3 linked regions of the Kluyveromyces lactis genome follow. The protein of the gene in region 2 interacts with the protein of the main gene of each other region in a pairwise test. Links are inferred from orthologs where the notes say so. Each region holds a gene or a part of one and is shown on either strand. Other genes may lie near its edges. The genes, in order: SOG2, KIC1 and CBK1.

What was found.
Region 1: the proteins of KIC1 (region 2) and SOG2 interact in binary tests that used the Saccharomyces cerevisiae proteins (3 or more experiments, as listed by UniProt). The link is inferred for Kluyveromyces lactis from reciprocal best matches to the Saccharomyces cerevisiae genes KIC1 and SOG2.
Region 3: the proteins of KIC1 (region 2) and CBK1 interact in a two-hybrid assay, tested with the Saccharomyces cerevisiae proteins (2 studies listed by BioGRID). The link is inferred for Kluyveromyces lactis from reciprocal best matches to the Saccharomyces cerevisiae genes KIC1 and CBK1.

The regions. Positions count from the first base shown.
Region 1 is NC_006039.1:1,118,067-1,122,226, forward strand, and holds SOG2 (Sog2p), read left to right. Parts: upstream 1-1,344; coding exon 1,345-3,723; downstream 3,724-4,160. Other genes in the region: holocytochrome c synthase CYC3, read right to left, coding at 1-903; TFIIH complex subunit TFB6, read right to left, coding at 3,761-4,160. UniProt on the Saccharomyces cerevisiae protein: Required for proper cell morphogenesis and cell separation after mitosis. Functions in the RAM (regulation of ACE2 activity and cellular morphogenesis) signaling network and is required for proper ACE2 localization and CBK1 kinase activity.
Region 2 is NC_006041.1:1,936,573-1,940,993, forward strand, and holds the start of KIC1 (putative serine/threonine protein kinase KIC1), read right to left. Parts: upstream 2,917-4,421; coding exon 1-2,916. Other genes in the region: ATP22 (Atp22p), read left to right, coding at 3,572-4,421. UniProt on the Saccharomyces cerevisiae protein: Protein kinase involved in morphogenesis and cell integrity.
Region 3 is NC_006040.1:668,499-672,738, forward strand, and holds CBK1 (serine/threonine protein kinase CBK1), read right to left. Parts: upstream 2,754-4,240; coding exon 597-2,753; downstream 1-596. Other genes in the region: KLLA0_D07788g (uncharacterized protein), read left to right, coding at 1-8; RPL42A (60S ribosomal protein eL42), read right to left, coding at 3,274-3,590, 4,181-4,184. UniProt on the Saccharomyces cerevisiae protein: Protein kinase that seems to play a role in the regulation of cell morphogenesis and proliferation.

The sequences.
Region 1 (4,160 bases), on a different chromosome or scaffold from region 2:
TCTGTCCTTGGCGTTTCCAAAATTATCTAAAGCCGGTCTGACATCTAAATTGAAGGTTGGAAGACCTTCTTCGTCATCAGGACCTCCATAGAAATCAATAATATAACGAACCTTACGATATCCAGGGTTTTCAGTGTCAGAGGATGTGGGATCAGGTCTCAGGACAATCCAGTCATGTCTATCGAACGGCAATTCACTTGAAAAGTAACCGGGGAAAAGAGTACCAAAAATGTTGAAACATCTTGCCCTAGGTGAAAGCTGGTCTGGTTTACCCATAAATTGTAGTAGCTTTGGATAAGTGTGTGTTTTATCGGTATACTTTTTTTCCCAGTCCAGTATTTCTTGCCAACATCCCTCATTCAAAAAGTTGTGAACAAATACCATAGACTCGACAGCATCTTCAGGAATTTCCTCCCCAGTAAATGGGTCAATCTTACCCTTTCTCACCATTGCATTGTACATCTGCTGCGGAGAAGGATATTCCCAAAATTCATCATCGGCAGTCTTACCCTTTGGTATGGAACTAACGGTACGCTCCGTTGGTAGATCGAGTTTTTGACCAGACTGTTTGACATCAGTCAAGGCGATAGGAATGTTGTTCAAAGGATTTAAGCCATGATTACCTTGATCAGACAAGACTGGACAACCACCTTCCGTACCGGTGGGTTTATCTGTGGTCTTCTTATCATGAAGAACAGGGCATGCGGAAACATCGCTTCCCTTAGGTTTATCGTGCATCACAGGGCACGCAGAAATATCTCCAGAAATTGGAGTAGCATTAGTTGACGCTGTGCTTAGCTTGTCAGCCCAGAACCAACCCATCTTCGTTGACGTTTTCGCTTTCAGACTCCGTGTGATGAGCCTTGCTTGATTGAGAATCTTATGGTTAATAATACCCGACATTTCTTTTCCTTATCAAAGCTGGAGGAAAAAGAAGGAAAAAAAATCAGGACATTACCCGGATCTCGTGAAGCTGGTAGAATATCGCGTGGCCGTGGGCCTTGAAACCATTGAGAGAGGACTGCAGAAGTTCGTCACCTGTTGGCGAGCGCCCTTCGGTTGCAGAGGTAGGTTATAACTTATGTACTTCGGATGCCCCGTACCAATACAGTCATATCAATCGTGTACCTCATGCAATATTTCCTTTTTTTTCTCTGTAATACCCGTAATCGAATCAATATGTTTCCTTAGAAAATGATCATCAAAAATAAGCTTCATAGTAAATCTAGTAATAAATAGGAAAGCCCAACGCTGTTTCGACTTGGTTTCAAAAGATCTACTGGAGAGTTCTAACCAAAGTTTTGTACTCTCGACTTAGATCAGCTGGTATTAACGTACTGTGCCATGGATAACCATACGGAATTACTGACATCACTCAGGCAAGGTCAAAATGGAAATCCCCCGATGCACCCTGTTAATAAAGAGATTTATCAGAAGGATAACACAGCAGTTTCATTAGCTGATCTTGGTTTGTCTTCAATAACAGATGATGCTGTTGAGCTGCTTCAACTAGTTGAGAACCTTTCTTTGCACCAGAATAACTTAACACAGCTTCCCGGATCCTTTAAAAAGTTGACAAATCTTCGAACCATCGATCTTTCTGATAACAGATTCAATGATATTCCTCCATCGTTAATGCAATGCCTTCGATTAGAAAAAATAAATCTTTCTAACAACAACATATGGCAGCTACCTCAAGAATTTCCAGAGACATGGTGTGATAACCTTGTTACACTCTCATTGAGGAACAACAATCTAACATCCATCAAGACACTATTTCCTATAATATCCCAGTTAAAGAATCTACGAGTCCTTGAACTAGATGGGAATAATTTTCCAAATGATGTTATCGAGAAGGTTCTACAAGGTTTTACTAGTTCCAAGTGCTCTGCGGAAGAATACTGGGTTATAGCCTTAAGAAAATTCTTCAGTGACAATACCGTTTCACAAACACCGGCAGTTACAACTCTGGATCCACAACAAAAGATAGCAAGGGCTGCGAAACGAATGGGCTTTATTGGAAATTCACATGATTCGGAAGACAATGAGAATAATCTCACGTCTCCCCAGAGCGATCTTGATCTTTACTCTCATTCAAAATTCAACGAATACTTCAAAAGATTATCTGTTCTGCCAGAGGAACCCAATTTGCAAGAGGTAGAAGAGGAAACAGATGAACAGAATTATAAAGAATTACTACAGACACATCATGAAAAGAAAAGAAAATCTATGGAAAATGTTGTGCTAGCTTGCAGGAAACTTTTGTTCACTTTCACTGAGTGTCAGCAAAACATTAGGAAGATAACATCGCTATGTTCTGAAAAGACCATTTCGGTTAATGTTGTGTCACAGCTTTACAGTCTCAAGTCTCATATTGATAATTTAGTTGAAGTCTTGGAACAATTTGAAAATAATAGTCAACAAAATGATCCTTCAATAACGCAAAGTCAGTTCCTTCATCATGATGTTTTGATACGACTATGTTTGACCATACTTTCTATATTCAAAAAGATTTTTGTTCAACTTCGAAAGAACTTCACTGCATTTTTTGGCAATAACGACGTGTTTTTTTTAAGGGTGTTCTACATGAACATATTATGTTCGTATACTGAAATATTCAACGCCTGGAAACTACTTGTTTTGGATAACCAGGAAATGATGAAAAAGAAAAAGCTAGCCAGAACGCATTCAGTTCATTCTATGAACATGGCTCAGTACCAAAAGTATTTAAACAGCAGGCAAAAATCGTCTTCTGCTATTAATCGATCTTCTTCTCTGAGTGGCGTCTCTTCCCAACAGTCTGCAATTAATGTCAACACACCAGGTATAAATGGTCCTTATGCGAATCAAAATGGCCAACAGGTTACCCCGCCAATTAATCCAACATCTTTCACGACTACACCGATATCTGAAGTTTCAACAACACCGCCTATACTAGATTCTTCACCGAAACCACCTCGCAGTCTAAATTACAGTGAGCAATCAACTGCCTCCACAGTCACACAAGGTGCCGCACCCACCGATACCTCCAATATCCCCTCACAAGCACTTGCAGATAAGGATATAGACCTGCAGCTATACCATACGTTGAATACAGTTATTGATATGGTTAACGTTGTATATTCACAATTGACGCAGGCAATAACAAAGTCAGCAATAGCTAGTACTACCTCCGATCAGCTTTCAATAACTCCTACGGTTGCTGCAAAAACAAAAGAATTGACAGATACTTGCTTCCAATCCATGGAGTTATCGAAAGTGTTAAAAAAACGACTAAATGTGATTTCCAATAGTGATATTGACACATATTTGGTTACTAAAGAAAAGCTCAAAACTTGGGAAGATATAAATGCATTTTTGAAGTCAATCATAGCTATTCTAGCCAACACAAAGGAAATCATGAGTGATCTGCCGACTTTGAATGACGTGAGGCCTAATCTAGCCTCTTTAGCTAAAATTACAAAGGATGTTACTGTTATACTCGATCTAAGCTCTTACAAAAGTGCTTCCATTACCAATCAGCAGTCATCCTCAAACCCTTCATATGTTGGTGCAAGTTCTGTTGATGCGCCATCACAACAGCAAAATCACACAACGAATCAAGGATCACCGGCAGGTCAGCATGGAGATACCACGGATCATACAGCTTCGAATATAATAACACCATTATCTACGCCTTCGCTGGTGACTTCTCACAATGTGAATCCATTTGATCAACTGTGATAATAATGCATTTGTATTCATCCTGTATTTACGTATGCTATGTACCTCTCTCTAAGGTTTCTTGATACACCCTTGAAATTTCATAGTGATAGCCATGAATGTCATTCTTTTCCATTAATTTCGGTAGTAATATTCTGGTCCTCTCAGCTATTCCAATTAATCTAACAATTTCTGTTCCACTTATTCTAAAGTTCCCCGGAACTTTCCCGTCAATTAATCTAGCAAAAATAAAGTCTAATATAGACAATAATTTAAATAGCTTTCTTAAAGATCCATGGGTACGGGGTGAATCTGCATTAAACGTTTCAGGCTTCATGGATTGGCCTATATTACTTGAAAAACCATTATCAAAACGACCATTGGTCTCGTTATCATCATCAAATTCATCTTGCTCGGTTAATGGAAATTTATCCAAATAATCTAGAAGATCGTCTGAA
Region 2 (4,421 bases):
ATGTACATCTATGAACATGTCCATGGATAATGACTTCGGAGGTGGATCCATGATGAATCCTAAAGAAGAAGGCGTCGTTGATGAAAGTGCACTCATTGTAGAAATATTCCCTCCGGCGCTGCCACCAACGACGGTGCTGCTACCAGCAGTGCTTGCAGTGTTACTGGTTCCTGGTGGAATACTCAGGGGGGTCATCGATACGGATGGTAGGGGTCCCGCCGATGTGGAAGCTGAAGGAATTGATATTGCACCATTGCTGGTACCGGGATTGGTTGAGCTCACTGTCGTAGCGAGCATACTTGCAGTAGTTGTGGTTGTTGTAGCGGCGGTGCCAGAAGCACCATTGTTTGTTGGCCCATTTGTCGCCGAAGCGCTATTGTTCCCATTGCTGGCTAGAATAGCATTGGCGGGGTTGTATACATGGTCATTGGTAATGCTACTATTTCTACTCGATGTGCTGGCACTTGTGCTTCTCTTTCTTGGTTTTGTGAAATCTCCGAACCGTTTTTCGCCCACTGGTGTCATTGCCACAGATATTTGGGCATTGCTTGTGTTGATACCAAACTGATTTACAGTTTGGGCAGTGACGGCGCCTGGAGCTGTGGATGCTGAATTTGGTTGATGTTGGTGTGATGCATCGTCAAGCTGCGTCGTTGAATCAAGTAGTTTGTTGGAGCCTACCAGCGTAGTAGGAGATGGCATTTGCAACTTCAAGTGGGGATGTTGCTTTTTGAAATCTCTATTGATCCTACTTGGTTCACCTTCGGTTTCTTTCTTCTCTGCTGGGGTATTCATTGATTGTAATAAAACATCATTAGGTGTATGCATTTGCTTCATAACAGGCGGAGTGTTGCTATAAACAGCACTCTGATGCAATACAGAATCTAACAATTTCTTTTCCGGTGAAACGTCAGCCAACGCACGAGTGGGAGACGGCGATCTCGCCTGAGTCAAATTCGATCCGAATAAATTCTTAGCTCCCACATTTGGAGCATTGTTCGATGAAGTAGAAGGGACGTTGATTCCATTTGTGTCATCGTTTCCTGGAGTCTTAGAATTGGTATTTATTCCATTCATTATGTCCGACCTAAGAGACGTTAGCTGAGAAGATGGTTGTCCGCTCACAGTGGGACGTCTTTGTAATACTGGTGTAGCTTTTTGAGACATCGAAGAGACAGTGGAGGACCTTGGCTTCGTATTCATCGTCAAAACCGATTCCTTACTTACAGGTAATTCTTCTGGAATTTCAATTTCTATCGGTGTTGGTAACACTGATGAACTTCCTGGGCCAGCAAGGTTGGATTTAAAGTTGGTTTGGAGTATGGATAATGCAGGAGTACTTTGGCTGTGCAAATTTCTCATATCAGGTCTGGAATCGTTGTCATGATCAACATGAGGAGTCCCATTTGGTTGAATATTGAATGAGGACACTGTCTTACTCAGCTTGGGAAAATCATACACTTCTTCAGGCTTATCCTCAAACAATTGTAATAATTGTTTCGAAGCCTTTGTTTCGCTCCGTTTAGAAGTGCCATGGGTGGTAGTTCCAGTGTGACGACTTAAATGATTTGCTGTACCTGTTGTAGTGTGTTGATAATGCTTATTAAAATGCGTATTATGTTGATTTGTAGGCGCCGTAGCATTAAGGTTGGCGCTATTATTGTTATTAGCTTGTATCGTTGACAGATGAGCCGTATTGGGATTGTTGTTAAAGGTCCTGCCAATGGTGGATCCTTGGTAATATGGGAAATATGGTTTGTTGGAATTGTAGTATTCTTCCTCTGGATATGCATAATTTACTTCTTGAGGAGAATACTTGATCCAGTCCGCTTCTTCTGGTATAGCCTCCACGTTGATATCATTCTCTAAAATGTATTCTCTAGAGCTCAATGAATCAAAATCCCATTTTATATCTATATCTTCGGGCTCCTTTTCTGTAAATGAACCAGCATCCTGTGATGCATTTCCCTCTATCGATGAATTGGGATTCTGTTTAGAACTTGTATGAGATTCTTCCTCATGTTTATACTGTTCATTCTTTTCTCTGAAAAGCAAATACCGTGTTATAAGCTCTTTTAAAATCACCGTGCTGGTGCCCTTCTCTTGTTTTATCAACTTACTCTTGAAAAGTTCTTCTGCATATGGCCTCTCCTTAGGATCTTCGTCAAGACATAATGCAATAAACTCCTTTAAAGGCTGAGAATATTCCCTTCCCTCAAGTCTTGGCGGTTTGGATTTCGTAATCATTTGCATTGCCCTGATAGCCTCCATATGACAGTAAGGAGGATTTCCAGTGGCAATTTCATACGCGGTAATACCTAAAGACCATATATCAACTTTGGTATCATAGTAAACACCTTCCATAATGACCTCTGGCGCCATCCAATAAGGAGTACCAGCCATTGTTTGTCTCTTTAACATTGACTGCGAGAGCTGTGCGGCAACACCAAAGTCACAAAGTTTTACGCTTCCGTTGTTTGCAATCAAGATATTTGCAGCCTTGATGTCTCGATGAATGACGTTGTCCCTATGAATTGAAATCAAAGCTACAAGAATCTCTCTCATGATAACTCCGATATACTTTTCTTCGATGATCCCCGGTCGTAGCAACGTCCGTAGTGAACCACCAGCACAATATTCCATTATAACCCATAACTTAGTATCAATTAAATATGAGCCATAGTAATGGGTGATGTTCGGGGTCTGCTTCAAAGACGATAAAAACTGGATCTCTTTACGGATATCTTCCACTTCATCTTCGGTATTATCGAGATTTAAAACCTTAATAGCATACACTTGTTGCGTCTTCACGTGGAACGCCTTATACACAACTCCAAACTTCCCCCTGCCGATGATTTCCTTCCTCTTGAAAAGAGATGTGACATTATTCGTGCCGCTTGTAGAACTACTAGACATCGTACCTCCACCACGATGAGTTTAAATCCACAAAATACAAATAGAAAAGCTGCTAGAATATTTCTTTGTTTGTATATTAGAAACAACTGGGCTTTTGGGAGGGCAAATAGAGCTTTAATCCCTGTTCTTCTTAGTCCAGCTTCCGCTTCCCTCACATGCAGGTTCCTAATCCCATCTCTCAAAGTTCATTCTTTTATAAACAAGAAAAGGTGGGTTAACGATCTTCAAAATAGTTACCCGGAGTTCGTTATTCACGTGAACAATTTTTCCCGTTCAAATAGCTCGAAATCGGGCATTGTCAAGGCAAGGAGCACTTCCGAAGGATAGCTGTGCAATCTGCGTTTATGGTCAGGAGTTTTAAAATATGATATGTCTCCACAAATGATGAATCTAGTTGTTTATGGTGTGCTAGAAGTGTTTATTCTCCTGTTTCTTGTTGTTCGATGGGCTTTTAACATCTCTTTTGTTTGGAAATTTTGATATTTCTCTAAAATGAAGATGCGATGCAATGCGCTGCGATGCCTACAAAGAATCACAATGATGAAATTAATCTTGTTTTATTAATTTATCGAGTACTTTAGCTAGCCTTTCTCCGCCATCCCGATCAGCTGAGCGAAGTTTGCTCGTTTTGTTGTTCTAGCGTATAGGATAAAGAATGTTTGCACTTTCTAAAAGTTTGAGGCAGATCAAAAGGCAGACCATCCAGTATAGATTTATATCTGGTATTTCCAAGGATGAGGTGTATTGTATTATAGATACTATAAAATCCAGTCATGAATGGCATAAATTAAAACAAGATCAGAAGATGCAGGCGTATGTGGCGGAGGCGTTAACAAATCCCACTTCAGAGAACGTATCTGAATTGATGCAGCTGAAGAGAAAAATGATGAGGACTTTGAATGAAAACTATAATTTGGCCCTGGGATATATTGAGGAAGGCTTACCAGGACCTATAGAAAGGCTAAAGTTTCGTTCGGAGTTTTTGAGGGTCGTAGACTCCGAACACTATGCATATTTTTCAAAGAGCCTTGATCATATACGGTATTGCAAAGGTCTTGATAGAGCAACTAGAAGAAAAGAATTTTACAACTGCATTGAGTTACACAGGAGATGTAATCCAGAAGTAACAGAAGGTTCTGGTATATTGCTACCAGATGATATTCACCAATGGTTTTTCGTATTTGTTCCTCCTGATGAGAGAATGAAGCACTATCTTTTCCTCATCGAAAACAATGTATTAATATCAGGTCATTATGCAGGACTGACACAAGAAAGAATGTTGAAAGGTTCGGAGATGGAATATAGAGTGGCTAGCTTCCTTCACTTTATTGAGGATCCTGAAAAACGTCACATTTTCGATGAAAAATTTAGTGTCATGCACCCTTTCCGACCAATGAGACGAATCGTCAACCTGCTCATAACGAAAAAAGACATGGTACACATCAAGGAATATTTGGATGTTTTAACTACTAGACTGGAAAATGTGGAATTGAGAAACGAACGCA
Region 3 (4,240 bases), on a different chromosome or scaffold from region 2:
GGGATTGATCAATTGGATGCAAGCTCCAGTTGCAAATCGAATGTACCAATCCTTGACGCTTTTCCTTCAATCTTGCCCTCATTAGGGTTTGAATCTATATTGGACGGAAAACACTTTGATAAACTCCGTTACCCGGAGTAAGGAGATCATTCACACTAACATGAAATTTTTTTTGCCAGTATATAAAATCAGATACATATTTCTTCGTTTCCACTTATAGGCCTTTCAATGATTAAATACATTAGAACTATTTTAGTTTAACCTTAGTTACTATTTGTTTCCTAAAAGATCAACATCAATATTATCGCTCCACGGTTATCCCTGTGTAAGATTTCGTTCTGCGCGGGGACCGGGTTATGTGTTGTTCACTATTTCCTGGTTTTAATAATTTGTGTTGAAGCGTAGATTTAATACCAAGTACGTTGCTGGGCGCCTGATATTGAGTCAATTTGATTATGATCTATTGGGAATCAGCTGTATCTACATTTTCTCCACTTTAATGACCGTAATGTTTATAATTCTTGGTAGTATTTCTTACTTTCGTTTATTTTATTATATTTAGGAACTTCCGTCGCGGTTATGTACAGAGAGCGTTACTATAGAGCATTCTTTCTAGTTAGATAATCAAACCTAGAGTACGTGTACCCGATGAATGGTAAATCTTCCTTTGCATTGGATTGAGGAACCCCTTGTTGCTGTGTCATCATCTGTTCTCTTTGTCTTGCAGCTTGTGCCATTGCTGGTGAATCAGGGACATTTTCTAATTCATCAGTTGGGAAGAACCTAGTATCTGTGACACTGGACAACTTAGGAATATAAGGAGCTTCCACTTGCCTGATAGTGTTCCAATCAACACCACTGAAGAAAGGATGTGCCTTAATTTCATCGGCACCACCATGTCTACCTAGACGATTTTCAGAGTGAGTTAACAATCTTCTGATTAGATCTTCAGCTTCATAAGAAATATGAATATCATCGGGGAATTGCAAAGTTTGTTCGAAATTCATGATCTTACGATACGTTTCTTGTGGTGTTTCAGAGCAAAATGGAGGCCAACCAATTAGACACTCGTACATAATAGCTCCTAATGACCACCAATCACATTCCTGACCATAACCTTGGTACAGGAAAATTTCAGGTGCAATATAATCCGGAGTACCAACAGTAGAGTATGCCATTAGTCTACGCGACTTTCTCCAAGTTTGCATTTGTTGTCTATTTGTCATGGTTAAATGAATGGCGTCAACCAACATTGTATTTCTATTACCATTGTTTGTTTCGTTTGGGAGCTGAGGTTTTTGTAGATTTAATTGCTGTTGTTGCTGTTGTTGTTGCTGTTGTTTCTTTGCCTCGTCCTCTTGTAATAACTTTTTGTAGTAACTTGAATCGTGAGTCTTATGGAACCCCGTACTCAAACCAAAATCTGATAGTTTAATGTGGCCTCTAATATCTATCAAGATATTATCTGGTTTAATATCTCTGTGAATAAAGCCCAATTTATGAATGACCTCGATAGCAAGTATACATTCTGCCATGTAGAATCTTGTCACATCTTCTGTGAAAATTTGCCATCTGATTAACATGGTCATCAAGTCACCACCCGGCAAAAACTCCATAATTAAATACAAATATTGTGAATCTTGAAAGGAATAATACAATGAAACAACCCACGGAGAATCACTTCCCGCTAGAACATCCCTTTCAGCCTTTACGTGAGCTAACTGATCTTTGTTGTACATTTCCGATTTCAGCAATGTTTTCATAGCATATATCTTGCCTGTGTCTTTCTTTTGTACCAATCTAACTTCACCAAAGGCACCTTTACCGATGACTTTCACTGAATTGAAGTCGTCCAACGATAATCTCGTTCTACGTAGTCTCAAAAATTGTGACTCCTTTTTACCTAAAGAAGCAAGCTGTCTATTCTTACGTTCCTCGGACCAGTCCTGGGATGCCAATTCGGATTCCAGTTCCAATCTTCTTTGATTTCTTTCAATAGCATAACCAACACTACTCTGATAAAAGTTCTCTATCTTGAGCTTAACAGCAGCTGCTTTGTCTTGGGTAGTTTTGGTCAATAGGTCAGGTCTTCTCTCAAAATACATGTAATTATTCGCCGATCCATTCTGTTGTTGAGCTTGCTGCTGAGACTGTTGCTGAGTTTGTCGTTGTCCTTGCTGCTGGGCCTGTTGAGTTTGTTGTTGCTGCTGCTGCTGCTGCTGCTGCTGCTGTGCATGATACGTATTGTGTTGAGGTGACTGAGGTTGGGAAGAGCTTTGTTGCTGAGTAAATGTTGGCGGTGTTTGCTGTGTCTGTTGATGTACCGATCTCACAGGACTCTGTTGACCATTCTGCTGTTGCTGCAGTGGTGGCGGGATGTACAAACCGGACTCACTGGCAACAGAATATTGACCGGGAGATGTATGCTGAGCGGATTGATATACCTTCGAATTAGAGTTGTTGTTATGTGAATAAATGCTTTGAGTTGGTGGTGGAGTCGCTGGATAATTCAAGTTGGGCACATCAGTAAACCCTCCATTCGGATAATATTGATTATTATGCGACTGAGGTTGCGATTGCTGTTGGGTCAGACGGTCTTGTAAAGACGGCTGTGATCCTTGTTGTTTCATATAATTGGTGCTGAACATGGGCTGAGAAGGTTCCGAAAAGGGCATGTTTCCCTGTTGCTGAAAATCGTTTGGACGACCAGAAGGCTGTTGATAGTAGTTCTGATTCGAATATCCACCGTACATTACGTGTTGTTGCTGAAGTAGCGACGTCCAAACGGCCTTGTTGACGTGAAATATGTCTCTAAACGTTAACAGTATAGTTTCATGTTCGTTGTTTTCTAAAACAAGTTTGATTCGATGTTTTTGTTTTTCCAATGAAATTGGCGATTATGGCAAATATTGAAAACATATTTTAGACAATGGAATGAAAAAAGTGGTATACATGGTGAGTATGTACATGTTATATTAGCTAAGGTCATATGTAAGCTTTACTGCCTGCAGGATCAATAATGTAGCCTGAGTCCTACGCTATTCTTTGTAAACAATTCTTGTTAATAAACTCTTATGCGTTCTGCTGAAAATTATACTTAGAATACGTATAATACAAATCGCAAAGTGAAGAAGTACCCAGTGGAGACTAAACTATACAAATGACAGATATGAGATTATAAATGTGATGAAAGAGTATATGTGAATTCGTAATACTTATAGAAAAGTTAAAAAATTGACAAATGGTAACAAATTGGTCTTCCAAAAGATAATCTCAGAATTGCAAAGCTTGACCCTTTTGCTTCTTTTCACCACCCAATTCGAAGTGCTTACATCTCTTCAAAGCCAATTGGGTCTTGGTCTTACAGGACATACATTCCAATCTCAAAACGACCTTCTTGGTAGTCTTAGCTTTCTTGTGGAAAATTTGCTTGGTTTGACCACCGAAACCAGATTGTTTACGGTCATATCTTCTCTTACCTTGAGCGTACAAGGAAGCCTTACCAGCCTTGTATTGGGTAACCTTGTGTTGGGCGTGCTTACGGCACTCCTTACCCTTACAGTAAGTCTTTCTGGTCTTTGGAACGTTAACTGTTAGAAATTAACATATCATAAGATAGTGATACATGTCGATGTTAGTAAAAAAATATTCTTTAGCTTCATCCAGCTTATTTTGATTGCAGGAATTCTATTCTCTTCTTCTTATTGTATAGGGAGGTCCAGGCTATCTGAACCCCAGTTGTTTAATACGACTGAGTTCCTGTTAATTATGTTCAGTCAGTGTAGCGTTGACTTCACTGATATACAATTCTCTGAGGTTGTCTCGACTACACCGAATTAAGAAACATAGGGACAACAAATAACCCAAATTACTTCCTCCAGCGTGAACAGGGTTTTATGCTAGTGAATCGTCCATACTTCGACCAAAATACTGATCTTTTGATATAGTTCACCAACTCAAATGAACTCTCCCCCCTTGTCGATGCAATATCTGAATTTCCAATACGGTTGGTGTTTTCTCATTGATTCACTCTGAAATGCTGTATTCTGTTAAATAACCATAGCTCATTTCATGTTCACTTGGTACTAAACTTCAAACGTTCCATTCTTCCCTCAGGATACCAAAAATCGAATAAACCACTGACAATCTCCACGGTATATTTTAAATCTTGTTCACATACCCATTGTGACTGATTTGATCTCTGTTGAGTTACGCTTTCTGAATGTACTGAAACAAATAG